Linked DNA regions of Lepisosteus oculatus. The protein of the gene in region 2 interacts with the protein of the main gene of each other region in a pairwise test. Links are inferred from orthologs where the notes say so. Each region holds a gene or a part of one and is shown on either strand. Other genes may lie near its edges.

What was found.
Region 1: the proteins of pdik1l (region 2) and c25h1orf174 interact in binary tests that used the Homo sapiens proteins (3 or more experiments, as listed by UniProt). The two-hybrid records come from large-scale screens. The link is inferred for Lepisosteus oculatus from reciprocal best matches to the Homo sapiens genes PDIK1L and C1orf174.

The regions. Positions count from the first base shown.
Region 1 is NC_090720.1:3,836,892-3,852,571, forward strand, and holds c25h1orf174 (UPF0688 protein C1orf174 homolog), read right to left. Parts: upstream 7,554-15,680; 5' UTR 7,422-7,553; coding exon 7,407-7,421; intron 5,455-7,406; coding exon 5,368-5,454; intron 4,147-5,367; coding exon 3,739-4,146; intron 3,111-3,738; coding exon 2,981-3,110; intron 2,528-2,980; coding exon 2,457-2,527; 3' UTR 2,452-2,456; intron 2,235-2,451; coding exon of another isoform or gene 2,191-2,234; 3' UTR 1,377-2,190; downstream 1-1,376. Other genes in the region: dffb (DNA fragmentation factor subunit beta), read left to right, coding at 40-250; b3gnt7l (UDP-GlcNAc:betaGal beta-1,3-N-acetylglucosaminyltransferase 7, like), read left to right, coding at 11,106-12,353.
Region 2 is NC_090706.1:5,714,569-5,730,248, forward strand, and holds the start of pdik1l (serine/threonine-protein kinase pdik1l), read left to right. Parts: upstream 1-7,934; 5' UTR 7,935-8,351; intron 8,352-10,935; 5' UTR 10,936-10,953; coding exon 10,954-11,238; intron 11,239-13,055; coding exon 13,056-13,796; 3' UTR 13,797-15,680.

The DNA.
Region 1 (15,680 bases), on a different chromosome or scaffold from region 2:
TAACCAAAAGAGTAAGGACACATTACCTTTCTATTTCAGGATTGAGAAGAAGCGCACAATCATTCCCACACTGGCAGAAGCACTGAAAAAGCACAAAAGCAGTGAAATCAACTTGGACTATTTTTACCGACTACTGTTTACCCGAGAGAATTTAAAATTAGTGCACATCGTCTGCCATAAGAAATCCGTTCACGACCTGGTGTGTGACAAGAACAAGATCTATAAGAAAGGAAAACGGCGCATAAAATGAAGTCAGAGGGCATTTGTACTTTCCTTTTTATATGAAGAAGTGAAACTGAGCCAGAACAAAACACTTGAAAAATAAAATGAACAAAAGCTACTTTTGTAGAATTTACACATCAAAAAGCAATAATACAGTATGATTAGATTGAGAGAGAAAATACCCTTTTTATAACTGAGTGTGATCAAGTGCCATTTTTATGTTTTAGGCTGAAAAAATGTTCTTTTACCCTTCAATTTAATGCAGATGGAAGAAACAATGAAGAAATTAATTTTACAAATGTACTGCAGCCTTCCACTCATTTGGTAGATTGATTCCAATTCATTAATGTGTCTTCCAAATGCAATATTTGTGGTTCTCTAACATCTTTTTGAAATGTACAGTGATTAAAACTAATCAGAACACCAGAAAAGGCCATTCCATTATATTTTTATGGATTTTGTTTCATATCGTTTGCCATTTATTTTTTATTTGAAGGAATTTTTTTACTTTAAATTTTTAATTAAAAACGTGCTAAGATTTGGGGTTGTCATGACCTTTAGTCATAATAATCACACACTATAGACCTAATTACAATTGTGTAGTATCTTTGTAAAAAAAGGTTTCCAATCTACTCTAATTACAGCTAGGTCTCCAACCGTCTCAATAGCCTAATATCTTCTGATTTGAGAATCAGATTTGAGAATAATCGATCTGATTGTTTCCTGAGACCCACATAGGATTCCTGTCTCCTCAATGTCCTTTATAGGCAATAAAACATTCTCTTAAAATAAGTTGCCCCATAAACGTGATAAGAAGCATTACAGATAATTACACGAATGTATTGAAAGAATGGGTGGAACAAAAAAACTAAGAATATAAGAGACTCCAATTTCTACAGTTTTAACATACTTTTCATAGAATTAATTAAAAATTTAAAAGAGATCTGTCCATCTAAGTACAGTATCGTAACAAACTAATCACAACAGATTCCATGTCCCTTTCTTACAGATCTTTGTGGTGCAATGCGACAAACTTCTCATTGTTTCCAGGTCTCTCTCTATGTTCTGCATACTGGCCCATAAGGAAAGCCCTAACGTTTGCAATGATCATGTAATACCTCTTGTGTTGCAACTGCTTTACAAAACACAATAACTAGTTTTATAAATGCTTTTTAATGTAGGTTCACATGAAATGAATATAAAGTAAATCTGAACTAAAACAGCATTGATCTTGTACAAAAATACAATTGAACTTGCTTACCATTTCCCCAAATATTCTTCACTCACTGACCACATGTAGCATTTCACAACATACAAGATGTTATATTGAATATTGATTACTACACATTAATGCTCTGTATATCACTTTTGTCAACACTTTTGAAAACCATTTCAATCTAACCATTAATTTTTACAATATAATCAGAGCAACACTATACGTTATGTCTTCAAAGTTTATTTTTGTATTTGTGATGAAAATCATAAGTAATCCAAAGCATAAGTCTTTTGAGCTGTTTGCATCATTCTATAACCAGAAACGACATCCAAACAGCAGTACAGTTGGTAATAAATCAACATAAAAATTAATTCCAGCAATAAAGACTAATTCCATTATTTTAACATTTAAGGCAGTATTGGGCATTTAATATAGGTACTACAGTAGTGTAGCGCAATGGTGAATAGAAAAAAATAACATGCTCATACAAACTTTTTCAAGTGTATTACAGTATATACACACATCCAGGATTGCATTACATTCAGTTATAAAGTAAACCCCTTCATTTCTACTTGACCTGAACACATTTTCTTAAGTCAATCTTAAACATTGAGCAAGCTCCTCAACATTATATAACAATCACAAGCACTTTTTTACAGTAATACATTGCTTGTGAGTAAAATAAAAACCATTTGGAAAAGTGGCCTTGATACTTCTCACAAGGATGGGTTGCCTTTTGTCTTGGCTGAAGATCAAAACAGTCCATTTTTTCTGTTCTTTACTTGTTGCAAGGCTCCTGTGGGATAGAAGAAAACACAACTTTGCAGACCTCAGCTGTTCAATCACGTATGGTGCAGCAGTTTGAGCGCTATGCCTATCAGCTCTGAAACCGTCTGACTCCGTTAACCAAATACAACGCAGGAAACCGACAGATAATGGAATTACCAGAAGCATTTGTTGTTGGTTTTTTTAGCCATCGGCAATGAAAATGACCAAAAAAGGAAAATTAGTACCTCTCTCATCTGCTCCCATTGCTTATGTAGCTTCCTGATTGTATGGTAGTGTTGCAACTTTCTGGAAGGGGAGATTCTACAAATAACATTTCGGATAATTTTCCAATCAGTATATATTGCAACAGAGGTGCCAAGCTCCACATTAAAATCTGTGCTACCCTGCAATCGGCTTCAGTCTTTTTAATAGAACCTGCAAAAAATGGAGGTATGCCATGTGTCATCACTTGTTTAACACTCAGATGTATTTGATACATGAAGTTCATTGGACATGAAGTACTGTGTGTGTTATAGCATCTACATTCTGAAGAGGTTTTCTTAATCCCTTGACCTCACTAAAGTCTCTTAATTTAAAAAAGTCTATTAAACAGCAGAATGGACTGAGAAACTGCTCAGCTGGGCTGCTTCATGTAACTGCCAGTACATGATTCAAGGCGATGTCTTGGTGAACTGAGGTTTTCCAGGAAAAGCGATTGTCAAAGTGATTGGGATTTGCAACACTGAGTCCCCAAAGACAACGTAAAGCAAATACCATTCTGCTGAGGCTGTTCCACGTGGCTGTCTTCGTAGAGGTCATCCTCGTCGTCTTTAGCAATGAAGTGTAGCCTCCTGTACTCCCTCCGGCTCATTGGGACTGTTGCTGGAGCTCTGGGAGGATCGTCCTGCAGAACAAAACCATATTATCATAAAACCTTCAAGCTATGCGCGCTGATCTGGTGGCTAATCAGGTTTAAGTTTATCCTGGCTTCTGGGGTACAAGGCAAACAGTTCTGAGTGTTCCCAGATCGGCGGCTATGCTAGTCCCCTGCAAGATCACTCCCATTGACACTGCTACTCGTTTTAAAAGCTGGGCAGAGTCAATGTGACACCTTGTTCTTCACTCAAGGCTACATCACCTAGGGACATGACTACACAGCCTTCCGGTTTGGTGGCCAGAGCCCTGCTCACAAGTTGTTTTGGACACAGCCATGCACATCTGCAGAGTATGTAACCAAGAAGTCCTGCGATTTTCTCTTTCCATAAAGAGGTGGTCATGTTTCCAGTCCTAAACTATGACGTGCAAGTCTGTTTCTCTTAAATCTGTAACTTACTAAACCAGTTTCTCATGACTAATTTGTGATAAGTGTGTTCTTCAACCAGGCTTGTATCTGCGGGAGAAATTCTGCTCTAAAATGTTCTGCACTTCAAGGTTTGAAGTCATTCATTACCCAGGATGGGACGTAATCAAACAAAAGGCCTATTTCCATAACAATACCATTCCACCACCCCTACCACAAGCAGATAAGGTACCTGTACAAGTTCTATATTCCCAAAGAACTGGCCCACTGGCATTGGCTGGTTACTGTCCTCGTCCAGGAAAACACTGTTGTCCATTTGGAGCTCCAGCTTTGGCACACAATTATCAACTGCTCTCTCCGCACTCGAGTTCATCGCAACACCGGATTCAGACTCCAAAGTCCGGCACTCGCTGGCTCCTGTGGCGCTCATCTCCTCTGCCTCGGGGAGATGGCTCTGTGTGCCTCTCGCTGTGCCGAGCTCCCTTGCAGAACTCCCATTGACGCCCTGCTCCTGGGCTGTTCCTCCCGACAGGCCACCGACGTCTTCGGGGACATCTGCCGACGTTTCTGGCTGCGGTTCAGGCACTTCACATTTCTGCCGTTTGACAGAACGATGGGATTCAGTCTTCTTCAAGGGAGCCTGTAAAAATGTAAGTCTTTCATGAAATGTGAGGACCCTGATTTTGATTGTTGCTTGACAGAACAGACTCCAGCTTCCCTGCAACCCTGAACGGGGTGAAACAGCCCTTTTCAAAGTTACTAATAATCTTCTTATCACCTCTGGGCCTCCGATTCCGCTTCTCTATCTATCCTTATTCTCCTAAATCATGACATCTCACTCTCCCACCTTGACACTGTTTCTGACATGACTTTTACCTTACTGATCACTGACATTTATCTGTCTTAGGGGTTTTAGTTCTGAAGTTGGGCCATTAAGACTGGTGTTCCTCATAGCTTGATACTGGGCCCTCTGCTATTCAGCATTTCCATGTTCCCACTTGGTCAGTTATTAAAATCACATGGTCTGAATTATCACTTCAAAGTTGATGACTCTCAGGTCTACATCCATACTAAACTTGACACTGTAGCAGCTGTTTCTATGCTCTCTAATTGCATCTCTAACATAAAAAACTCCATGACTCAAAACTTCCTTCATCTGAACTGCCACAAGATTAACTCATGCTTCTAAGCACCTCTCATCAACTATGTAAAGCCAATGCAGTAACCCTATCTGTGGATGACACTGTACTTGAATGTCAATCTAAATTGAAGAATTTGGGCGTGATATTTCATTCCGGCTTGGCATTTGAACACATGTACAATATATTGTAAAAACATGTCAGGAACATCACCGGACTATGTCCTATATTCTCTGTCTGTAGCAGAAAAGCTAGTTAATACATTTGTCTTAACTAGAATTGATTACTGCAACGCTCCATTCGCTAGGGTATCTAAATCCAAACAGAATCCTTAACAGGTCTTGTGCAAGTGATCACATTACTCCTTTCCTGGAGTCCCTGCACTGGCTTCCTATCAGGTTTTATGTCAAATTCAACATCCTCATGCTCACCTATATGGTCCAGACCTCTGGAATTCTATCTACAAGGATATCAGAGAGTCACCTACCCTAGGCACAAAATCCAGACTCAAAAACTTCTTCAGAAAGGCTTTTATTTAGTTGGTGTCTTTGCTCCTGGCATCTTCTACTGCATTTTTTAATCCCTTGTGGTTATACGTGTTAACTGTTTTCTTTTACCTTTTCTGTAAAGTGTTATGAGAACCTACTTTTAAAGGTTTCTGTATAAAATGTAGTTGACTGTTTATTATTATTATTATTATTATTATTATTACTGTGACTGACCTGAACTGAACTTTCCACTGCTGTGCTGAGTGAAGCATGGGAGCTCTTTCCTTTGAGTCTCTCCGAGCTCCGGACTTTACCCCGGCCCTGGAAAAGAAAAAGGAAAAATCAACTGGAATAGGAACACCGATACAAACCTGATACAGCCATCCTTTTACTAACCTCTTCTCCCATTTCAGAGGCTATCCTGGCAAGCAACAGGGTACAGCCTGGATGGGATGCCAGTCCACCGTAGGGCAGACAGACACGTACACACTCACACCAGGACCAAGTGTCACAGAAGCCAATTAACCTATCAGCATGTCTCTGGACTGTGGGAGGAAACCCAAGCGAACAAAGGAAAAACAAACTCCATACAGATAACACCCCAGGTCTGTAATTGAACCCAGGGCCCCAGCGCTGCAATGCTAACTATAGCACCACCACCACCAGGTTGCTGGTTCAAATCCCACGGGCAGCAGAGGAATCCTACTCCGTTGGGCCCCTGAGCAAGGCCCTTAACCCCAGCTGCTCCAGGGGCGCCGTATAAATGGCTGACCCTGCACTCTGTGTGCCTGTGTGTCTCATTGCTTACACTTACATAGCACTTTTCTGGACACTCCACTCTAAGTGCTTTACAGGTAATGGGGATCCCCTCCACCACCACCAATGTGCAGCCCCACCTGGATGATGCGACGGCAGCCATAGTGCGCCAGAACGCTCACCACACACCAGCTATTAGTGGGGAGGAGAGCAGAGTAATGTAGCCAATTCATAGATGGGGATTATTTGGAGGCCATGATTGGTAAGGGCCAATGGGAAATTTGGACATGCCAGGGTTACAACTTTTTTAGAAGAAACAGATTTTTAGTGATGACAGAGACTTTACGTCTCATCCAAAGGACGGCGCCTGTTAACAGTATAGTGTCCCCGTCACTATACTGGGGCATTAGGACCCACATGAGACGCAGGGTGAGCGCTGCTGGCCCGATTAACACCTTCCAACAGCAACCTAAGTTTTTTCCAGGGGAATTGAATTTTTCCATTCATCTCCCATCCAGGTACTGACCTGCTGAGCTTCAGTGGGGTGCCAGTTACAGAGTGATATGGCTGCTGGCGTTCTAGCACTATGAGAACTGAGAACTATGGCTTTGTTCTCACACATAACAATACACAATTATTGCCCACCACATCATTCATCATGGTTTCATGATAGCTCTCAATATAATAAAATGTGTAAAAGATATGTGATATGGGAATATAAAAGATATAAGATATTACAATGTAAAAGGATCTATTAAGGATCAATTTGCCTTACTTTTTTAGATTTAACTCTCGGAAGACTAAGGTTACCTTTAAATAGAATTTCTCACCACTCTTTACCACAGCTAACTCCCTTATGATACATAATCCTTCACACACAACATTCCTGCCGGTTATTGTTTTGGAATGAGGTGCTGCTAGAACAATACTGGGTTTTTTTTTTCCAAAGGGAAGGGTGTAGAACTGAAGCCTCCAGCGAAGCCACGCTGTCGGCGCAGACTTCCTGGGATCCTTGTGGAAATGGTTGGATCAGATGAACCGAACTACTAGCAACCTAACGTGCGACAAGAATTCAAGGGCCTCCTCTCGCTCGAAACCTTTCGTTTACAGAACATCTCAGTGTGCTGCGCTGTAACGCATTACCTACCGGCGGAACAAACCTGGAACCCGAGTTCACACAACCGGGGACACAGCGCAGGCACAGACCTCGCTACCCTCGCAAAACCGCCTGAACGCGTCTTCCAAAGCGAAACACGGGTCTGAAATCTAGTTTCTGGGAAATTGAACTTTTCTTGGCCCCAGCTTGCTTTTTCAGGAAGCTTTTATTATGTAAGCGAGGGGTGTAAATATTTACAATCGTAATATAATTTGTATCCCGAGTGTTACAGCACGTCCAGGCTCTCTCGTCTCAAACTGGCGAACGCCGGGGAGTTGTCTCCGTTAAAAAAGGCCGGTCTATCGCTATGTACCGCGCCTACACTTTTTGAAACCCTGGAAGTTTCTCCGGCTTAACCTACCTGTTTTCGACTCATTCCCAGTGCTTTACCGAGGTAGGCAAAAGTTAATAAGTATTGCCGGGGAGGGTAACGCACAAAAAAAAAGTTTCTACAAAAGCAAAGCCCGGTCGGCTTCAAAACTCCAAGCAGCCGCTCGTCAAATGACGCGACTGTGCGCCAAGCCCAGCCCACCGCCGGGAGGGCCGGAGGCGGCCATTGTGGGGGTTAAGGGTGCGCTGCGTCTTGGGGTGCTTAGTACGGGGCATCTTCCCCCAGAGGCACAGGTTCTTTATTAATCGACACGTGTGCTTTGCCGATAGATTAGAATTCCATTTTTTTTGCAGCTATCAACTCGATTATTAAATGCCGAAATGCAACACGGGCGTGTGAGATGTAGTGTTCATTGTGTAAGAACTTATTTTGTATTATTTGTATGACTAAGCAGGTGTTTAATATATCGTGTAACGATGGCTTTTGTGCTGAAGACATAAAAAACAAGATGTGTCGCTGTTATTATTATTATTATTATTATTATTATTATTATTATTATTATTATTATTATTATTATTATTATTATGTAGATCTTCTTAATGCCACTGGGTGGTGCTAGGTGCATTTCTCTTATTTTCTAGCTTGCATCAGGCACAAGTACAATCCTTGCTGCATTTGCGTTAATACACAGTAAGCAGAATTTGTGTGGTTTAGCCCTCGGGGCTCTTTCGCAAATCGAGATTACTTAGTTAACCGAATAACAAAAGTCTGACTTTTCGGTTTCACGAAGCGGGATCAAACAGCACCAGGTTAAGCCTTTAAAACCTCTATATTCCGAATGTTGTGACTCATTATTTACAGAAACTCGAGCTCTTGAGATTCTTGGCCACAGTATTTTTACTGTGTTCGCGACTCCGAGCGCATCAGCAAAGCGACAGTGCGCCGTGTGATAAGGACAGTGGTGGTTGCACTGCAAGTCTTTATATTCATTCATAACGATTCCGGGCCGTGCAAAGAGGAGCTTCCCTCTACTTGTACTTTTTGTTTCCTGTACATAAGTCCCGCGATCTACTGTATATATTTGCATGCAGGATTTTCTAATGTAACAGGTGCTCTGAACTGCACAGACATTAAAAGCCCCACCGGGTCGAAGGAGACCGATTTTGTTAAAAGAAAATCAATTCACGACATCAATGTACTGGTGGAAAAAAAAATTATAGCCTAAAAAATATGAATTGATTACACAAAAAGTCCATTATCACCATGTTTCCTATGATATTCGATGATCCATGATGTACGGTGTCGAATCAGCAACATGTAGACTCGAATATTCAGATAGTCCACATTGCGCTTTAAATTTAAGCAAGGTATTGAACACAAGCAGCCATTGGTCTGAGGTACACTGTGCTGTGAAGATATTGCATGTAGTTCCATCGATCAGTGCTTCCAGTCAGTTTGACTGGCTTCTTTCTGGGGATAGGGATTATGGCAGCTCCAACATCTAATTGACCCCTTCCCTGATCCAGAACCTAGTAAAGACAAGAGCCCACATTGAGATGACATTTGGGATCCTCAAGTCAAGATGTGATTGTCTTAGTGCTCTGAGGGCAGCCCCAGACAGGCCATGTCTAGTTAAACGGTGGCCATTGTTTTAGGATATATTCTCTCTAATTATGTCTGGGTTAATTTTTTCTTCCGATTATATTTAGGCCACATTTTACTTGGCTTGAGACTTTCATCAATATGGTGGTGGGAGTCTCACCTCTACTAATCGATTCAGATAAAAAAACGTTGGTAAAAAGACAAAAACCCAATAAAGGAATAATTCTTTATTGGGTTGATTATCTTCATTCATTATTACCAATATCTTCACTATTAACGTTCAGTCATCTTCTGCTCATGATTCTTGCTGCTGGCTAAAATGAGGTATCGTTTTTATTCAAATGTTGCACAACACTGTGTACAGCATTTTACAGTTGTTCTAAAGAAAACCACATACCACTTTGGATGATATTCTTGTATTTTGTTTTTCCATTGCGGTCCAGTTCCATGCATAAAATACTGCAATTACTGCCGCATGAAAACAATATTGTGCCGTGATAGTTTAAAAGGGGGCTCCACTTCAATAACATAATGATAAACGTTAAGTAAAGATAATATATGCATGCTCTCGCCATGGTGATAGTTGTGTCATATCTTGAGATATTTCATTATTAACTTCTGTATCGGCGATACGGTGTTAGGCGACGTCCCCGGCTTTTGCAGCATTTACAGTATAACAGCTTTTATCTCCTCATAGTTTTCCAAAAGGAGTCGTAATTCATGGTCACTGGAAAAAACGCACGTTCACACTGGTGCTGGTGCTGATGAAGGAATCGATGCGGATAAAGCATGCCATTGCCGACAACACTGCTGTATGCTCTACTGTTCGTGCATTGATAAATAAATCTTGATTGATTGATGCTCTGCTGTCTTCTGGAGGTAGTCGTGAGCGCGCAGGTAGTCAGACTGGCCTAACTTGTTCAATTTAACCAGAAACCGGAGTTCTCCGAGGGAAAACGGAGCAAACCTGAAATCAGTTATCGATTTAATCCTATCCAGCTAATCTGACTGGATTCTGAAGTAGTTTAATTTATTTCACGAAACAGACGGTCTCACCTGCAGTGTTTTGGTTTGTGTGTGTGAATACTGGGTTATTTATTTTTTGATAAATTACTGTATGTATCAGCAATATATATATAAAGACAATATAATAAAATTGTAATTCTGCAAACTCGCAAGCAAAATTAAGATTTGGTATGCAATGTTTAAACCAGCATTTAATAATAAAAAAATAATAAATTCATGTACAGAAAGAAATCCGCATGAACGGCAGTAACATCTGAAACCACTAATCTTTAAACACCTGTGTGTACACAAAGAGTCGTTAGTGTCTGGAACAGACTACCATGGTACTACTCTTGCTTCCTTTAATAAACTGTTGAATGAGATGACCAGACCAATAAACTGCACGGAAGCAAACTGGAAAGATTGGCCAAATGGTATCTTATCGTTTGTAACCTTTCTTATTTTCTGTATACTGTATTAAAGCCACAATTTATGAGCCGCTTTTCAATGAGTTATGAAGGGGAACGCGTATTTCAATATTGCTACGACAGAAACTTCGCGGGGTGCGGTTGTAGGCGGTTTTGACTTCGCCCTCTAAGGTGAAACGAGAGACTTGGCTGTCCTTTAGTTGCTCGGAGAGGAGGTGTGGGTTGGGGAGGCTATGACAAAAAAAAAGTAGCGGAGAAGTAATTAGCAGACGCAGCGGACGTTGAAACAAAGCACAAATGAAAACGCTAGGGAACAGTCGGACCTTCCGTGTGAAAAGAAGGCAATAAATGCTCTTCAAACAACGGGGAAAGCGAAAGACAGACACGCGAGCCGCGCCGGAGTAACTTCTGGAAGACATTGGTATTCCTCGCCAGTAGGCATCCGCAGAAAGTAGACAAATTTCAAGCGGGATATCAATGACTGTGCACACAGGTTTCTTCCACGGAAAGATTTCAGTTTCGGGGATCATGCGTTCCCCGCAGCTCACTACAAGTGTGGCAGCAATTGACCGTTTCTATTACAGACTGCGGAATTTAAAACAGCACGACCAGACGACGGGGCCGCTAATTGCACAATGAAAAAAGCGGATTTTTATTTAAACCAGGTTTGCCTTTGCAGCTACTACACCTTTGTATGCTGAAGATAATGGAGTATTTTTTCAGACGGAAGAGAGCGCTGAAAACTCTTCTGAGTTTGTCTTTGGTCTGTGCCACGATATTAATGATCCAGAAGTTCAAGCTGGTGGAAGAGGCCGCTAAGGGCACTTTAATGGTGAAAACCAGGGCGGACGCCGGTTGGTCCAGGGTGAATAAAAATGTATTTAAAAGCGACTCTTACAATCATTCCCCCCTGGGACAGCCTGAGAATTCGGAAGCGGGTCATCTTGTCCCATTTTCCAACGTGACGCGTAAGGTTTGGGATGTGACTGCTATCAACTGCAGCGAGAATCCCGACGTGAAGAATAAAGACTGGTTCAAACGCCTGGACCCGAGATTTCACCAGTTCGTCCTGTACAGACACTGCAGGTATTTCCCAATGCTGATAAACCACCCAGAAACGTGCCGGAGCGGAGACGTGCACTTATTGATGGTGGTCAAATCGGTGATTGAACAGCACGACAGGAGGGAGGCGGTCCGCAGGACGTGGGGCAGAGAGCAGGTAACCGGTGGGAAGAGAATCAAGACTCTGTTTTTGCTGGGCAGCCCTTCCACCGGCAAGGACACGAAGAACCTCCAAAAGCTCATCCAGTATGAGGACAGGATATACGGAGACATCCTACAGTGGGATTTCATGGACACCTTTTTCAACCTCACCCTCAAAGAGGTGAATTTCCTGAAATGGTTTAACATGTACTGCCCCGGGGTGCAGTTCATATTTAAAGGGGACGACGACGTCTTTGTGAACACGAACAATCTACTGCAACTGATTGATTTTAAGACAGAAGAAGGGAAAGTGCGAAATTTGTTTGTAGGGGACACCATTTCCAAAGCTATTCCCATTAGGAACCGTCAGAGTAAGTACTTTATTCCCAGAGACCTTTACGACAAACCGTACCCCCCGTACGTGGGGGGTGGGGGCTTTTTAATGTCTCCTGAATTAGCTCGGAGACTCTTTATCGTCTCTGAGAAACTGGAGCTTTATCCCATCGATGATGTATTTCTGGGCATGTGCTTGCAGAAAATAGGTGTCGCCCCAGAACTTCATCCCGGTTTCAAGACTTTTGGGATTATGAAGCGCAAAATCAGTCCCATGAACAACGACCCATGTTTCTACAAAAACCTTCTAGTGATCCATAAGATGAGCCCCACAGATCTGCTTAGAATGTGGGATACAGTGCAAAATAAGGACTTGATATGCGCCAAAAAGATTGTACTGCCCTGAATGAACGTATAGTTGTATTCCTTTTACCGGGCTCCGCCTGAGACTTCACTGAATTTTTACTGGATAAGATTTATTTATGTACTGTATGCGACGTGCAACTCAGCTTAGGTGTTGACAGTTTTAACTAAGGAGGCTCAGTCTGGGAAGAATGTGTGAATTAAATGACACTTGATCTTTTAAACATCTGATCACAACCTTATGCCAGTTTTACATCGTTAAAAAGCCGAGTAATTCATTCACGTCTTTTCTTAGTTTGTAATTGCTGTCAGGGGTGTCACGGTACAGTATCCCTCTGTGAGCCCATAGGAACAAAAACGTTCTCCTACAATATCCTGAACTTTCGTCTTTATAATATTTAAAAATACATATTTTTAAATACGGACAACTGTTTTCTCTTGGAGATTTGATTTGGTTTTCAGACTCTGAATGAACTGCTTATGTTTCTTTCAGACTTCATGGACTTGTCCAAATTTTAATTTACATTGACAGTTTGATTTTAAAATGGCAGTCGTGGTCCATTAAAAAAAAACATGCACCCAATACAAAAGCCAAGTGTTTTACGTTTTTTAAATAAGTTTTTCAGAAAGTAAGTTGGAGGAAAACTCAAACTTAGGTTCAGATTTAACGACTATGTGGATGTAACGTGAAAACAAGCTTCTAGTGGAATACATTCTAAACTGAATGCTTAACAACTTAATCACATGGGGAAAATACAAACAATCCATAAACGATTTTTACTCCTAAAATATTACTAATACAATTTGGCCTAGGTTTAGGCACTCACTGAGCAGAGCAGCTTAAAAATAAAATTACTCCACGCGACATATCTGAGAACCTGTTTTCTTTTCCTCCTCTCAACATTTAACAAAACACAGTTTGGCACATTCACTGTTTAATCAATAAAACAGAAAGTGATTACTAATTATCCGCTTCAGAAGGATGAGTGGAAATACAGTATATTCACTGGATACTGAAGGAAGTGCTGATCCTTTATTTATAAAAAAAGTTCGGGGCTAACAGAACACAGTTTCTGTGTGTCAAAATCAACAGCTAACAACAATGACATGTTTTGATTAAGAAATAAACATTTGTTCTCAGATAACCAGCAAGACTGGGCAGGAAATGGCAGTGTGCCAGTTTGGTTGGACACTTGAGTGGCAGGCTGCAGTTGAGCCAATCATAATTCATTGTTAACCAACCTCAAATTAGTTTTGGCCCCCAGACGTATACTGTTTTACAGCGAAAGGACAACTTGGTCAGTCTCTTTCTTATATATATTTAAGATTAAATGTGCATATTAAAAATGTGTGTATTATCATAGGGTAGTGTAAAGACAAATTTGTTACAAATAAAAAAGTAAATGGATTTACAGTGGTGCCACAGTCCTCAAGAGATGTATATACATATATAATGCTGAGAGGCAGTAAAAATGCAAAAGATGAGTATTGGAACCAACAGCATTTATTGTGCCTTTAATGCCCCTTACTATACATACTGTACAGTATGTGAAATTCATCATTGTCTAGATAATGACATGATTTAATACAGCTGTGAATGTAAATCATTATTGTCCTGGCATTATGGAAGAACTACCAAGAAAGAAGTTTTGTTTTTATATATATATAGCTGGCCACAGCCTGCAATTGTGAGCTTAGCTGTTCCTGTATAGTCAGCCACTTCGACATCATCTGCAGCAGAGCACATTTCCCCTGGATGGTTTGATTGCAGTCGGTGTTAGAACTTTGACAGTTCATGAAGAATCACATTGTGCTTGTAAATCGGACATGTTGTTTTGTTTCCTTTGCAGTTTTCAAGATTCATATTTACTGTATGTCAGTTTCGTTTTCTGGCAAGAACATTCCAATATTGAATTATTTAACAAGATGCACAGCTAAGTAATATTCTTCAAAGGGAACCTTGGAAGTTCTCTTTCCCAAAATATGAGGCAAATCAAATATATTCCTTGTTTTTTTATTGCAAATATTGAGATACCATTTCTTACTCTTTTTACTTGAATTGCACTAATAACACTGTTTTTGCAACACTGTTCACTGTTGTTACAGATAGAATCTATGTCTTTAACTAGAAAAATATGCTACTTAAGAAGCTGGGTGGAAGTATTTGTATTATTTATTGCTTTTACTCAGAAAAATGACTGCTGACTGGGCCTTTCTTAAAACTGGAGTCAGTGGTGATGCCCTTTACAGTAGCTTCCTGTTTTCTTTTAACTTTTTAAATAAACACATCCCAGCAACGAATTTTCAAGTTGCACTCAGAAGTGATGCATTATTTCTATTTCCTTACAGTGCTGGACATTTGAATCGTTTCACTCTGCTGTTATTGTCACATTTTCCTGACAATGCTGGATGTTTAAATTGTTGCTCTCTGATGCAATTAACTAGAATGGGTTCCTTTACCAGACGATCTGTAGCCTCCAAAGAACTACACAGTGTGCATGTGTGTGGAGTATCTCCAATAAATAAAAAAAAAGTTTTTCTTTTCAATGCAATAAAAAAGAAACTAGGTTTCTGGGACTGTAGTTAGGTTGAGTATGTACTTTAAGCTTCACATTTTCATTGCAGCTTGTCAATAAGCTTTTTTTTAATACCAGTCTTCATGTATTCATTCTGCCACACCCTTCATAATTTTGGAGTGCTGCAATTTCTTTTTTGTCCTAAAATGCTGATGTTGGCAAGAGTTTTGAATGTCATAAGCAATCGGAGTATTAATGTAGTTTTTCCATTTCTGAATTACAAGGACTGAAAATAAAGCCATCTTTTCACAGACTAACGTTAAGAGTTGTCAAATTTCCAAATGGAATGGCTGCTGTTTACACAAACTCTGTCTTTCTTAAGGCCTCAAAGAACTGCCATTCATGGAGCCAAAACAGCTACACTTACACCAGGAGGGTTTTGGGTGTGTTTCAAGATCAGAAGCGTTTATAATTTACATCTAGAGCGCAGTCATCAGTGCTCTGGGATGCCATGGAAAGCAAAGTTGTGTTAAAGAAGAGGTGCAGGTTTACTGGAAATTGTTATGAGTGTCTGAATATGCTTACTGCTTTTTCTTGTTTATTTATAAGGAAATAGGTTTGGAATGAACCTTCACATTCATTCCCATCTCCAGTTTAGCACCAGGTACACAAAACAGAAGGAGGATTCATTTAAAGGAGAGGGTAAGATGTAATATTGTAAAGATTAAATGGTGGATATAAATGCAAGACACACTGGGACTGTTGTGCTTCTTAGACATGCCCTAATTGTGTGTCAAAGCAACTTTAGGCCGTGGTTTCAAGATCTGTGGAGGCTTAGGCTAGTCACTCTTTTC
Region 2 (15,680 bases):
AGCTTGTCTTGGATGGCTGGCTCCCAGTGACTAGGCACCCATCAAGGATAGTTTAGACTTTTTTAAATCAAGGAGAAGCCAAAGACTTCCCATCTGTTTAGTAAGTATTTCTGAACCATTCACAACTTTTAAGTCATTATTTATTTGCTGCCATGCCTCAACAACTTCTCCTTATGTTTGACCTGTTGTCTTGTCCCACAGTTTGCCTTTTCCACCACATGATGCAATATGCTTGCTCGTGATTCAGAGCGGCATCCATTTCAATCTGTTTTTTTACCTTTGATCTACAATACCGTTCTCTACTTGAGAGCATCAAAAAGTCCTTTTATCTATGCTAAAACCAATGCAATGTTACTCTGCACTAATCATGTGTAAGATGCATTTATCTTTTAATATAAAGTATTTGTTCTGTATTTTTGTATATTTTAAGATTGCCGAAGATCCTTATGACTGCAATGATGTTTTGTTTCTCAGGAATCGTGAAACGTAAACTCAGGGATATCTAAAATTGGCTTCTGTGGTCTTGGGAGTTTCGGTAGGAATAGAAAGGGTGGATAAGTGATTGTCATACAGCTCCTAAACCTACCACACAACAGGCCAGTAGCTTCCGACTGGCTTTCTGCTAGCTTTCAGTGGTTCAGTGGAAAATGGTAGACACGTTGAAACTGCCAAACAGCACCAGTAAGATGGAGTCCATATCTGAATCTCTGAAAAGCATAGCCATTCCTGAAGCAAATTAAGTTTGCAGACATAAACCAAGTTAACAGCCCTCTTAATTGGATTTGTGCGACAAACACATTTTGATCAAATGCACAGGTTTTGACAAACATTTGATTTTAAATAAGAGAGCAGTTTTAGCTCTTACATGGTGAAACATTAACACCAGACAATTTCTGGATGTTTTATTCTGACACTGCGTGTAGAATATCACGTCTTACTTTGCTCTAATAACTAGGGGACTGGGGACTGCAATTCTGGAGTGTAACGTTTAACAAAAAAGCATGGCCTCCCATGTTTTTTTATGTAGCTTAAGGATGAACTTTGACCTAACCCATGCCATAAACATACTCTGTCTTGAGCACAGCTGTTCTGATTTGTGTATATTTATATTTTGAATGTAGTGTACTGGAAACAGGAATATATTTAAAAATTCCAGTTATTGAAAAGACTAAAAAGATCCATTAATAACTTAACATTTGCTTGGAAAAGCAGGCAAATCTCCACCAGATAAGAATCGCTGCTGTGTTCTGGGAGCTAGGAGCTGTTGTCAGTAGTAAGATGTGTTTTCTGACATCCACCCTTTCCAATAGTCTCCTACACACAATGGAATCTCATAATTGTTCGGTTTGTATTTTGTGTTTTTGTAAAAAGTTAGGGACAAAAGAACCTGCTTGTATGCCCAAAGATGTGAAAAATCTTTTTTTCAAAATCATATCTTGGTTGTGCATAGAAAAGTGTTGTTATTGTTTTTTATTTTTTAAGAAGAGCAAGTGCAACAGTCAGCAGTCCTCAGTACAGCACACTTGAAAGCAGTGGCTAAAGGACTTGATTATTACAACAGGCTAAATAAGGTTGTAGGTGTATTTTTGTGATTTTGGACATATTTAAAAAGAGCTGTGTTTATTAGTTGAAGCACGTATTGATTTGTCTAAGAGTTAAGATCTGTCATCTATTTGTACAGATGGTCCTTTTGTAGATATTCCTTGACAGTAGTATTAAGCTGTTTACAGGCACAAATTTGCTTAACCAGCCATGACAGTGCTTATTTCTTTGTTACAAATCAAATATTGCTGAATAGAAACAACACAATAAGTGCTAAATCTGACTTTAACTCATTATTTTAATTGGTGAAACTGATGCTCAAATCAGCTGATATAATCTTTAACTATGTATGTTTCTTTTCCTTATTTCCAAAATGCATCTTGGATACACAAGGTGTCTGGGGTTATGGTCAAAATGGTAATTTATTTTTATCTGAATGTTGTGGAGTTCCAGTTTCTTGAAAGATTACCAGGATACTTCCTTGGAAGAATTTAAGATGATCCTAGTTAAAACCAGATTTAAAATTCTTATTTTAAAATTAAACATATAAAAAATACTGAACTCCCAAATTTGAAATCATTTCAGCTTTTGATGGGAAATACTCACTCTGACCACCAGGGAGCAGTATTTGTCTGTTTGCATAGTGTTCTTCAGTTTATCACCTTTTATAAGTTATAGCACTGAGACATTTGAAATGAATGCTTAATAACCTTTTCTTTTTTTAATATAAAATATATAATCTTTCGATATGCCTCCATATAATCATGATGCATTAAGTCCAGTGGATCTGTTGCACTCTGCTCTTGTATATGATTATTGTACAGATACTACTGTTCTATTGTATGATGTTTTTCCTCTTTTGTAATTCAGTCCTTAGGGGGATTAGAGTAGGTGCAGTTTTCCCACAGCGGGACGGAAGGGCAGCATAATTATGACTTGATGACATATTATTGAGAGTTCAGTGGAGACAGAACTAGAAAATATGGCATAGGCTCATCCTGCAAGGTATGAAGATTTTCCTAGCTTGGAAGGCCTTCTCAAATATAAATATGACATTTACAGTAAGATTGTAGTAAGTCTTGTATCAGACAAACTGTGCAGCGTCTTACCAGTGATTTAGGATGATTTAGGAATGTACTAAACACCATGCTTCCCGATTCCTCCCGTTGTGTCCTAGTGTTGTGTTGTGGTGGTGGGTTTGTTTTTTTATTATAAATGAAAACAAGATGAAAAACCTTGTAAGCAATCTATACAGGTCTACCTCAGGATATTGTAGTGTGAATAGGGACAAAGGCAATTCGCCTCCATTGTAGTTACCCTTTGGGTTTTGCTGCACTGGGGCAACCAGAACATTGTCCTTTTTTCCCGTGTAGAAAGTTTTGTTTTGTTTTTGTTTTTTGTGATGTCTGACATTTCCAGAATTGTGCAGCGCGGGTGTCGATGTGTGAATCTTCTTTCCTCCCTCGCGCTGGTGTCCACACACGCTGTGCCAGCTGTGCCAGCGCCGGTGCATGCAGTTCTCTGCCCAGATGGGTGGCCGTTGGTGTCGAGTTAGTCCTGCGTGTGTGTTCTGAGATGACAGAAGGCAGCCAGGTGTGTTCACTGCTGCTTGTGTGGCCAAATGCTGCCAGAGGCCTTCATCCTTTAGGTCTTGCTTGGTCAAGGGTACCCCCCGGGTCCCAGAATGGTTATGGTATTGGTTAGCATAGCTTTGTTCTCCTTCCTCATACTGATCATGAGTTATATTGACAGCAAGGAGGGGTGGTAGTGTTATCACTGCTAGCTTGCATCTCCATGTTCGCAGGCCTGACTCCAGAACTGGCTACCCTCCTGCATGCTCTCTCTGTCTTTTTGTGCTCCTTTTCTGTGCACTCAGATACCTTCCCAACTCCCAGCTGCTTGGCAGAGTGGGACTGATTGGCTGCTTTAAACTGTCCCTTCCAGTATCTGGTTCTTGCTTCCCTTGAGGAAGGGAAGTGAGCACCCCATCTCATTACTAATGACATTACCTGACAGTGGCTATGGAACAACTCTGTCCTAGGGTTTGGAATCAGAGTAGTTCCTTGTGGGGGAAAAAAAGAAAATCTTTCTGGACCTGAAAGGAGACTCGGGCTTCTTCCTCTCATTAAGGTTTTGTGGCTCCATCTCTTGTCAGATAAGAATGGTTTATACCCCAGGGGATTGTTCTACTGGCCAGGTCCAAATCAGGATTGTAGGGAATAAGGTGTTCAGTGGGTGGTATGTTTTTTCTTATGAGTTAGTCTTTATAAAATATAAAGTTTATCCTGTTCTACATTTTTCTACAGCCTCAGAACACTAATGAAAATACTACCCTCTAGAAACCAAAGGACCCACGACAGCTAGGAAGATCTCATTATTCTTTTTTATCACTGGAAAAATCAGCTTAATGTTGAAAGTAAAGGTTGCGGACCCACAGTCAAAGACTTCATTTAGTGCACATGAAGGGAGTCTTCCTTACATTTCCCTTACTACTCGCCTGCGGCAGTCTGTGCTATAGCCATTTTGGGCTCTGGGACGACAGCTGGGGAAGTGTTCCTCGTGCTGAAGCATCAGTAGGGCTTGTGTGTTTCTCTTCTGGGCAGGGGAAGAGGGCAGATTGCCATTGTTTACAGAAGGAGAGGAGGGAAAAGGCTGAAGCTTGAATACAAAAGGGTTTTTGCTCCAATAGACATATTGGGTGGGGTAAGGACAGTTCTGCTGTATTTCCTGCTGCAATTGATTGTGTGGCTTTTAAGACTCCTGTAAAAGAAGAAGGAAACCAAATCGCCGAATGCAGTGTCTGTGGTGACGTGCAATATGTCTGCCATGGTATTTGAGTTACCGTTGTGCTTTCAGATCCTCTACTTGCAGGGAAATAGATAACAGCCACACTCTCCTTTATACCCTGCTATCTGAACACCATACACACCAAAGTGTCATCTTCATTTTAAACAATACTCAGGGTTGCATATTAAGCACAACTTAGGAACACGTATGACTTGCACAGAGGCCCTTGTGTACGTGTAACTGTGCTTTTATTGTGTGTCTTTTGTTTTGTTTTTAAATTAGACATTTCATTCAGAGGTGTGCGTTCTATTGGTGTAAATGCCTAATATAAATCAAAAGATTGTATATAAAGTGACCGAAGAATGTAGTTATGTTTACTGCTATAAACCAAAGGTTTATGTGTAAAACTCCAGCTTTGGGGTGTTTTTCCTTTTAAACTCCTTTATAATTACCCACGTGTCAACCAAACCAGGTGGGTTTTGGGATTGTTTGGGTTTTTTATTCTTTTTTTTAAGTATTTGAAGCATGCATTACAAACAGAACTGTGATCACAGTGTTTCGTAGTGTTTAAAAACATCTACAACTTGCTTTCTAGTTAATAAAAGTATGTCCATATAAGAACCACATGTGTCTTTTGCCTTCATTCTAAAAGATCCAGGATATGTACTTTCTGTTTGGTGCTTCTTACTCTGGGTTTTTTTTTTATCTGCATGGGAAATTCAGAAATGGCCCTAGACTATCCTCAGAAAACCCCGCAATCTTTTCACCCAGGAAAGAAGAGAGTAAGCTCTTGTTTAATTCTCTGTAAACGTTAAAGAGTCCACCCCCTCCCCAGTAGAAGAGACTGAAAGAAGATTCACAGAGAATATTGCAGCATTCTGTTTAAACTGGCTTTCAGAAAGCTTAATTTAAAAAGTATTAAGAAAATAAATGCAACACAGTAAAAAATAAAGCTGTATACAGCATGGGTGCAAAGCAGTAATGTGAGCATCTTGGTGGTGTGTCTCCCATGTCTACAGAACATAAGTGCGCTTATCAAGTTACGGTCTGGGAATTGTTCGAATTTCAGGGATGCACTATAAAGGTGGAAGAAGGAAGCAGAGGAGAGCGGAGAGATCAACAGAGCTGTCTAAACAGACAGCTGGGGCAGGAGGGACACTGAGACTGCAGGAGGAGCGGGAGAGGAGGGCGGTGGTGGAGAGAGGGGGAGAGAGAGGACGACAAAAGGGGGAAATGAGACGAAAGGGAGGCCAGACTCAATCAAGAGGTGATTGAAGATGATGGCGGTGCCTCCAGAAGAAGATGGCTGTGAGACAGTAACAGCGGGAGGAAGGTCTGAGCATCATCAGTACAAAAAGTATACAAAACTTTTTGGGAAGAGATAAGAGGACCATGGCTTAAAGAAGTTAACATTGTTGTCTGTGACGCCAACCAGAAGCATAATTTTAACAAGCCTTGCCAAACCAGCTGGCTAGCTAAAGTATCAAGGATATTAATATGTACCTCTCCTCTCATTATTTAACCCAGAAAGTGGCTTAATACTCATGTAATAGTTCAGTGTGTGTTTCTGTCACAATTCACTTAAAATGTATGTTATTTGTCTATTGCAATGTAAAAAATCTGTATACCGTGCAAAAAAAGAACTTGTTTTTATTCTATGTTGTGTGTTTTTAGAAAAAAATCATACCGATTTTGAATATTGATTTGATGTTTTTGGCTTCAGTTTGATTAATTGATTATTTATGATTGACCGGGCGATACACTCGAGTGAATTTGTAGCATCAGCACTAAATCACTTTGTGACTGAGAGAATTGGTTGGGCACAGGTGATGGGAGAGGGCTTAATGTGTTGAATGTCAGGCCTGGTGAAAATCAAGAAAGAAAAACACAGAAAGAAACCAATATGTCCAACTTACCACTTAATGACACTTTCACATTCTTATTGTATAGGAGGCTGGACTATGTTAGTCCAGTGTTGCTCACCGACAGCCATTTCTAACCTGGCAAGATGTTACAGTCATATTCAGTCTGGCAATTACTGGTCACCTGACATGGTGACCAAAGAGCCACACCACTCCCCCAAGACTGATGTGAAGGTTGAAATATTGTAGCCTGGCCAGCAGTGTCTCTGGAGAACTCCACTTGGAGTGTCTCAAAGAAGCCTGACTGCACAGTACTGAGTGCTGGACATCCCCTGCTGCCCTTGCTGTGGGTCCTTCCTGACTTGAGAACCTCCCATTAGGGAAGCAGGGACAGCGCACACCCTCACACAACAAAAACTCTCGCAGCCCTCTCCAGGGAGTCTCCAACCAGTCCACGTTATGCACTACACATCGAGACTGACAAGTTAAATATCCATCCGCTTTCTTTATAGAGCAGTCGGTTCAGAATGAAAACTCTAGATGTTCCAAAAGCTTTATGCGCAGTTTCATCGGGGTAAGAGAGATGCAACGTCGGTTCTCTTGCGAAATGAGAATGTGACAGTTATGACGTGGATGCCCAGCTCACCAGACTGGAGAAGTGGGAACCACCGGTTTAAATATTGTAATATTGTAAATCCAGGCTCTTTGACCCTTGACCCCTGTACTTCAACCCTTCCTGAAAGGAGAACAGGTTGGGATTGGATCTCTGGTGGGGTGTTTCTTCATTACTTTTTTGTTATTTTAAACATATGGAACGCTGATAGATTTTATGTATAGATTTAAATTGACGATTGAAGATTAGTCCCACTAAACATTTTGTGAACTTCCATGAACCCCTTATTTAAGACACCAGATCTGAAATATATGTGTCACAGTATGACCATTCCAGTGTACATGAGCTGTTTCTAACATTATCAGGTAAGCCATTTTAGATTGCCTGGGAGGTTTCATATGTTTGTTTCTGTTAAGATTTCCCATTAAAAACCTAATGTGAACTTTCTGTTTTTGGAGCGGCCCCTTTAAGAGAATATTTCATAGGGTAAAAAATAAGGGGGGCGGTTGCGTCTTTCTCGTTAAACGTTACTTAATAGGTGTAAAGCAAGCAGCGTTTCTGTATTCCACTTCCTTTTTTATGTGAGGTTTATTGTTATCTGTCTATTTAAATGAGGGACGAACCCCATTTTCTTCAGGATACAAACACTTCTTTCTCCTTTGTCACCCTTTTAAAATAAGCCTACCCGTCCCTGAGCCACTTGGAGCGAACCAATCCATACTTCTTTAGAGGGCTTTCAGCGCAATTGTTTTCGCGGAAAGTATATCGTGTCAGATCTTAGACAAGGATAGACCGTGTTATTTAGAAAAAAATATTAATTATTACACTATTTAAATGCGGATCTATGTTTTGGGAAACGATCCTTGAGCAAGGGAGTTCTTGAATGACTCCCCTCCGGATTTATCGGAGTGAGCGATGCCCGGCGCGTGCACCGAATTTGAAAATGGTTTCTTATACGAGCTCTGGCCGTGGCTGCGGGGTGACGTCGCCCCCTGCTATTAAATATACCATCGTAGTGTCTCTTCTTCTCGTGTATCAGCTTGTCATTTGTATAGTTCAATAAAAAAAAATAATATTTGGTCAAATATTTTGTCTTGGAAGGGGAGGGAGAGGGAGGGAGGAGAGATTTGTTTTGGTTGGGTTGGGTGATGGAGGAAAAAGGGGGTGGGGAACCCTAATCTGCTCCCAGATGTTAAATTGTCCTGAAACGTTTCTCTCGTTTTGAGAGGTCACTCGTCAGAAACAATCCTTCCAAAACACTGGGGAGTGGTTTTTTTGTTTGTTTGCTTTTCCGTGTGTTTCAGAGCTACCGTCTCCTTCCCGTTAGGGTGAGCGGCGGCGGGCGGGCGGGCGCGCGCGCCGGGACCGGGAAGCTCCTCCGAAGCAGGTCCGCGAGCTCCTCTCGCTCACTCGCGCAGCTCGCTGGCACGGGAAGCAGCGCGAGAGCGAGCGCGAGCGCGGCGGTCTATAATGGCTGCCAGCAAAATCCACAGCGCGGGGGAGAAGGCAGCAAATGATCCCGTGAAAGAGAAAAACGTTTCGATCAGGTAACATCCTTTGGGGGGGGTTTATTTTTATTTGATCTGATGATTTGCCTTCCTCGTCGTGTGGCAGGTAGATGAAGACGTGCGGGTTATCCCCCACTGGTGTAAGAAAAGCTGTTGTCCAGGGACACGGGGGACAATAAGCAGTGGTTTCGGATCCATTAAGTGTTACACACAGTATTGTGTGCGAAAGAGCTGAGGGGAATTGTAGTAACCTTCGTATTTTTTCAACTTTCTAGATTAACGTAGTGTTCGCACGCAATCCAGGTCCTCGGTCTCCTTATTTGCGGTCTTTGTGAAGAGGGGCTCGCTTCAGTGTGAAGGAACATTGTTAGCAACACGCCTGTCGTCCCATTGTGTTTGTGTATTGCACTATAAAATATTCAGGAGCCACGTTTTGCTGCTCACGGATGGTGGCGGGCCTTATTTTGTCGTGCGGGCGAAACCTTGTTTTCTTTCTCGTTGGATCCCAAATGCGCCGGCATCGCCTGGTGTTGTTGTGTCCATGTTCTGAACAGGGGTGCTAGGAGCAGGACTTGCACGGCTCACAACCACGCTCACGTCCCTGGCTCTGCTCAGGGTGATCGTGCGGCATGCTCTATTCTAGCCTGTGGTTTTAGTTGACAGTCTTGCCACCTGCGCGGCTGAGCCCGATCTGGTTCTGGTTCGGGGTGCACACACCGCAGGCGGGAGCTGCAGTCCACTTCGTGGGCTTACAATTCACTCTTCTGTTAATGAGCGGTCCATTACCGACAATACGACTGAGCTGGGTTTAATTTCAGAAACCTGACGTGATGGCTTATGCCTAGCTTACACACTAATATGACAGGGGCCATTGAGGTCGAACATGAGCTGAAGACAGTCTAGCCTCGCCGTGTAGGATACCCTTACCACTGTTCACGAGTAAAGACATTGTGCAGTCCAGTGTCCAGTCGGTGTTTTAGACGGGTAGCCCCAATGATAGGTAAACAGTGACAACAGTAACTTCACCACGTTGCACTCGAGTTTTCTAGAGTTTGGTGCCTAAAAAGGACGTTGAGGCGCGAAACAAAACCGCAGTAACGAGAGTTTCCAGTATTGACGTTTGTCACAAGCGGTGTGTTTTGAAATACGAGACGTCCCAGTGCATTACCACACGGTTGTGCTTCGTAGCTTTATTAGGAGCGGGATCTTCCCGGAACACTCCTGTGTGCGGTACAGAAAGTGAAAGCACTGGCTCGCCCTTTGCAAACTGGACCTAGTTGAATAGAAAACAATAGAAGGGTTGCTTTCTGACGTTTGAAAGGAAATCGCAGAGTGTTTGCGAATGGCTGCTTTCCCTTGCATTTTTCAGTCGTGTTTTAAAAATTAAGTGCAGGGCACTGAGCTACTCCGTTTCAAAATCGAGCAAGGGCAGAAGCTGCATGCTCTTTAAGAGACGTTTACAACATCTTTGTGAAGGTTTTAAAGCTTTTAGAATAGTTTCCCCCTTTTAAAACAAAGCACGAGAGAAACCTGGACACAAGTCAGCATGTTAGTGTAGGATGGTGATAATGCTCAGCCTTTGGATAGGAGTATTACAGAAAATACCGTTAGTTCAGATTGTGAGTTGTTTTGTCTATATATATATACCTCAGATGCTAAAAGAATTGCATTTTTTAACAGCATTACTGTTGGTTGACTAAATTCATGGGATTAGTCTTTATTCTCACTTGCCACTGAGAGCAGCCTTTGGTTCTATACAAGGTCCCATTTATTTATCTCGAGGCCCAGAACGTTACAGCTGAGACAGGAAGAGACCGAATTGCATGCCAAGAGAGACTGCTCTGCTCAAGTTGCAATCAAGGAAGTAGAGGCTGTGTACATGTGGTTATTTTGTACATCAGGTGCTTTTTGCAACATCACAGCCTGTGGACTGAAATGACAGTCCAGAATGTATCCACGTGCAAAGGTGAAAGCAAATTGTAGAGCTCTGTGTCAGACATAGGTTGAGAAAAGGAATTAACAATCAATAGCATTTTCTCTTAAATCTAATTTTACCATGGTATGAGACAAGCTGTTATAACGTACAAAGCTGGCTTAATTTTTTATTGTTATCCTGTACTAAGTAGCACTATGGGCCTAATATTAATATAATGAGATATGTTTTTCAGCACACTTTTAACAAGAATTGCTGTTAAATATTTTTTCTGGTTGCTTAAGATGAGGAAAAGGATTCTGATTTCACAGTAGGATACACCACAATAATGCTTTTGCATTAATTCTTATATCTGAGCAGTTTTCTGCAAACTGTGTTGTAACGTGGAACTGTCAGACTCTACAACAGAAGCAAAATAGTGGAGGGGAAAATACTGCAAAAATTTGATTAACCCAAGTGAACCCAAGAATAAACCCAAATTATATATTAAAAGGTTTAGTGGTTTAGGGAGTTAAAAGGTGTATTTGGGATGATACCGTAGTTTAAAATATTATTGCTGAAATCATCAAACTTGTTTTATGTACATTCAAATATTTAATGAATTCTCTGCTGCCCCTTTCATACTGCCAACTATGAAAGTACTGTCGATTTGGGAGAGCACTCTCCAGCTCTCTGTCTGCTTTGTTTCAGCGAGTGGGTGGCGAGAGAATGGTGAGCAGCCAGCCCAAGTATGAGCTCATCCAGGAGGTGGGGCGTGGCAGCTATGGTGTGGTGTACGAGGCACTGGTGAGGAAGACCGGAGCTCGTGTGGCCGTCAAGAAGATCCGGTGCCACGCTCCTGAAAACGTGGAGCTGGCCTTGCGGGAGTTCTGGGCTCTGAGCAGCATCCAGAGCCAGCATCCCAACGTCATCCACCTGGAAGAGTGCATCCTGCAGCGAGACAGCCTGGTGCAGAGGATGACGCATGGCTCCAGCTCCTCGCTCTACCTGCAGGTATGCGGCTGTTGGTTTTGTTGAAGATCGCCAGTTTCGTTATTGTCTCACGTTTGCCGGCCCCAGTTTAGTTTAAGCCTGACTGTGTTTCCGCATGGGTGCCGTGGCACTGAAAACAGAATCATGCTTCCCCCACTGGGATGTGGGTGTGTGGAGTTTGTTGGAGACACCTGTGGGTTGCTGTATGACACCCACTGCTGCAATTTCCTGGGTTTATTCGGGGTCATGTCCTGCAAACATGCAAGGTTGCCGTTAACCTTGCATACAGCAAATGTGAAGATGTGACTCTTGATTTTTCCAGTGTAATTGTTGGAGAATACTGATATTTAATATTAATTGACTATTAAGAGATTTCCTGATCACCAAATCATTGAGGACCATAAGCACTGCAATAATTTATTGTTTATATATATATATTATTTAGATAAATTATTTATTTGATTTAATACAGGTATCTATTTAATAGGCAGGTTTTAGAATCTCACTGAAAGTGTTTTTTTCTTCTCCCTGGATGATGGTGTCAACTAAGCCAATTTTAATGATTTTATAAATTTTACCTTACCTTTCAATAGTATTAAATATTATTTATTAAATATATAAGTTGTATATAATCTGAGTCTTTTAATTAAGGGACATGTTTAATTGTATTAACATTTTACTGTGGAATTTCTTTACAGTATGGGTGTTTTTTTTCCTGAGAATTTTGTGACCTGGACTATTTTTTTGTGTAGCACCTATACTGTACATGGTAAATTGCAGGTCGGAGCTTGTAGGTACTCACAAGCTACCGGATGTTTCTAAGTCAGCAGTTAGGATGCATCTCATTCTTAGCTCTGTCCTTGTTCTTTAGTTTTGTCTGCACTTCATTGATAGAGCACATTCCTCTCCAGTCCAGTGTTCACATGATCGGTGCTAACCACAACATTTACAGAGGAATAGTAGCAGATTTTGGAAAGGGTTTTATTTTTTCATTTTTTTCTTGCATTCAAAAGGTCTCTTTCTCCTTGGGCTATTATGTGACGGGTGTTAGTCTGTGTGTCTCTTTGTGCTTTGGCTGGTCACCACTGTGCCCTTAATGTGGAGAAAGGTTGGGCACACTTGTAGGTCCAGCTGTTGGGTCAGGGCTAAATGCGAGTCAGGTGGTGCCCTTTCAGGAGTTACTGCAACGTCCTCCTGTTTAAACTGTTTTATCCTGTGCATGTAGCGTCTCCGAAGTAATAAATACATTGACATCTCGGTGAGAGTGCCTTTTAATTCTTGATTATGAAATCACAGCAGTGCATGAAAGCATTTTAAATAGCTTGTTAGTCACTTCAGTGCTTTGCCATGGCAGGAATTTTGGCAGCCATCCCAGGTTTCTTGCAGAAATGTTTCTGTTGGTGTTTTATGTAACTGCCTCAATTGTTTTCTAATGCAGACAATGCATTTCATTTTGTTATAGGCTTTTCTGTATAAAATGGATGATTTCCCCTCTTTTATCAATCCAAAATATTGAAATCTGCGTGTCCTTCATGTGACCTTTTTCTCTACAAATTGCATAGAATCTACTGTATTTAGCACTTGTAAGAAATAGAAAGCGTTATTTGCACTTCATCCTTTTTTGTGTGAAAGTTGCACAGCGCACTTTCATTTTTTCTGGAGGACTGTCATTGCTTTTTTAGCACAATGACCATGTTTTGTTCTGAGGCTGAGATTCCTTGCTGATATCAATCTCTGCAATCCTACTATAGCACTGCAAGCTATCACCTGCAATAAAATGAAATTCTTATATCTGTACAGGTAGTGTTGACAAATAACATCACTTTTTTATTTTCAAGCTGGTGGAAACATCATTGAAAGGAGAGATTGCCTTTGATCCACGTAGCGCCTACTACCTGTGGTTTGTCATGGACTTCTGCGACGGGGGAGACATGAACGCCTACCTGCTTTCACGGAAGCCCAGCCGTAAGACCAACACCAGCTTCATGCTCCAGCTGGGCAGTGCCCTGGCCTTTCTGCACAAGAACCAGATCATCCACAGGGACCTCAAGCCAGACAACATCCTTATCTCGCAGAGCAGGACTCCCACAGGCGTGCCTGAGCCTACGCTCAAAGTGGCAGACTTTGGCTTGAGCAAGGTGTGCTCATCTTCTGGGCTTAACCCCGAAGAGCCCGCTAATGTCAACAAGTGTTTCCTGTCTACAGCGTGTGGAACGGACTTTTATATGGCCCCGGAGGTGTGGGAGGGTCACTACACAGCCAAAGCAGACATCTTTGCTCTGGGTATCATCATCTGGGCCATGCTGGAGCGCATCACCTTCATTGATACGGAGACCAAGAAAGAACTGTTGGGGAGCTATGTCAAGCAGGGCTCAGAGATTGTGCCTGTTGGGGAAGCTCTCTTAGAAAACCCCAAAATGGAACTCCACATCCCCGTCAAGAAGAAAAGCATGAATGCCAGCATGAAACAACTCATTAAGGAGATGCTGGCCGCCAATCCACAGGAGCGGCCTGACGCCTTTGAGCTGGAGTTGAGATTAGTAAAAATCGCCTGCAAAGAATGTAACTGGGATACGTGATATTAAAGGAAACTTCAAGACGCACACTAAATAACTTTTCTGTGACTCCTGAACGACTTGTAGACAATGGAGCATCAGACCTTTTCAAGAGAACAACACTATTCTAGGGTTGCCGTCTGAAACCAGGGATTCAATTTAATGAAAACGAAGTTAACAAAACTGTAGAAATAACTGCAGTGGTGGTCCATAAAAAATTGAATTTTCAAGGTTAAGTTCATGGTGGTTATTTGAATTTGCTTGGTGCATGTCTTACTAAGAGCCACAAAGAACTTTGCTGCTGCCCTGCCTCTGAGGGCTTTCCCAACAGTGCTTGCTAAGGGTATAGTTTTTAAATGCTGCTAGTTCAAAGGAAAAACCACAGGGAACAAGATTCATTTGGATATTTTGAAATGCTGTTTGGACATTCAACTAGCTTCAGAAGGTTGCATATTGTTGCCTACACAGATGTGAACAGTGTTAAATTATTTTCTTCCTGCCAGACACAGCAGGCAAGCCAATCATTCTTACCAATAGCAACATATACCACAACTGCTAGTTGGCAATTAGAAAATCCTTTTCATAGTTTAAAAGATAATCTAGCAAGTTCCTATAATACACAGTAAATTATATACATGGTCAGGTTTTACAGATTAGAACATCTTAGTATTTGTGTGAAAATGCTATCTACAATTGAGAAATTAAGAGATTGTGATGCAATCAACATTTTCTGCCCAGGAATGCCCTTTCTGTGGGGAAAATTAATTCATTCCATATTTGTGCGCAAAGGGTTGCAAAATGTTGTCCATTGCATAAATATAAGAAGATGATATTCAGGCTGACGTTATTTGAAATAGTTTTTAATAAGGCTCAATGAATACGTGTTGAACAAATTAAAAAATATATACACAAATTGGATTCTCTATTGGGATTTTAAAGATCAGTATGATGCTTTTTTTAGCTCTGTTTTTGCTGAGCTGCTGATCTTGGCTAGGAGCCCTCAGGGAGTGCTGCCCTGGCTGTTGTACTGCCACAGGCTTTGCAGGATGAGTAGTAAGTAGTTAGTGAGTGAGCAGGTGGGCACAATCTGTGGCCTTTCTCCTGGCATCTTAGTAACATCAAGGACAGGTTTCTCACACAGCAGAGGAGAAAATAAATGACCTCCTTATTTAATTCTCGGTTACTCTTTATCTATTCTCTTAACATTCAATGCCCAATCCCATTTTTAAATCCTGATTTCAGTCCCTGCAAATCTATTGCCAGAAATGTGGGATTAGCATGCTGGCCTAAATATTGTACATCTTTCCTTCAGTCTTAATTTTTGTCTGCTCTAGTGCTGGTTCTGTACATGGGTCAGGTATGTGTAGGGTCAGAACAGGTTAATCAACATAATATGCTCATATTAAATGGGGAAAAAAATTGTTGGCCTCTGATAATTATAAAGTATGACAGACTCTAAATGTAGATCAGTCTTCATTCAGAATGGCTAGTGAGTCTGTATGTCTTGGAGTTTTCAAAATGCCTGCAGACATTCTTGTCATTTTGAAGTTATAGTAAACTTAAACATGCTGATGGTCAGCCAGGGAAGTGCCAATAAGGGCTAATACAGGGCAGGATCTGACATGAGGTTACACCAGTTCTTGTCCATTGTGGCTCTTTGCAAATCATCTGAGTCTTCTCAGAACCACTGTGGTGTATATTACACTTAGACATCTGTTTTATCTGCAATAGAAGGTTTTGATGCTATCTGCATATCATTTCTGCAGACTAGTCTGCTGGTTTTGAGCTTGCTAAAAGAAGAAAATAAGGTTTAACTTGGATATTCTTGACTTGTGTACCATTTCTGTTGATTCCATCGCAGTGCCCTTTACTGGTCAAAACTTAAGGTTACATTTTCAACATTGTAAA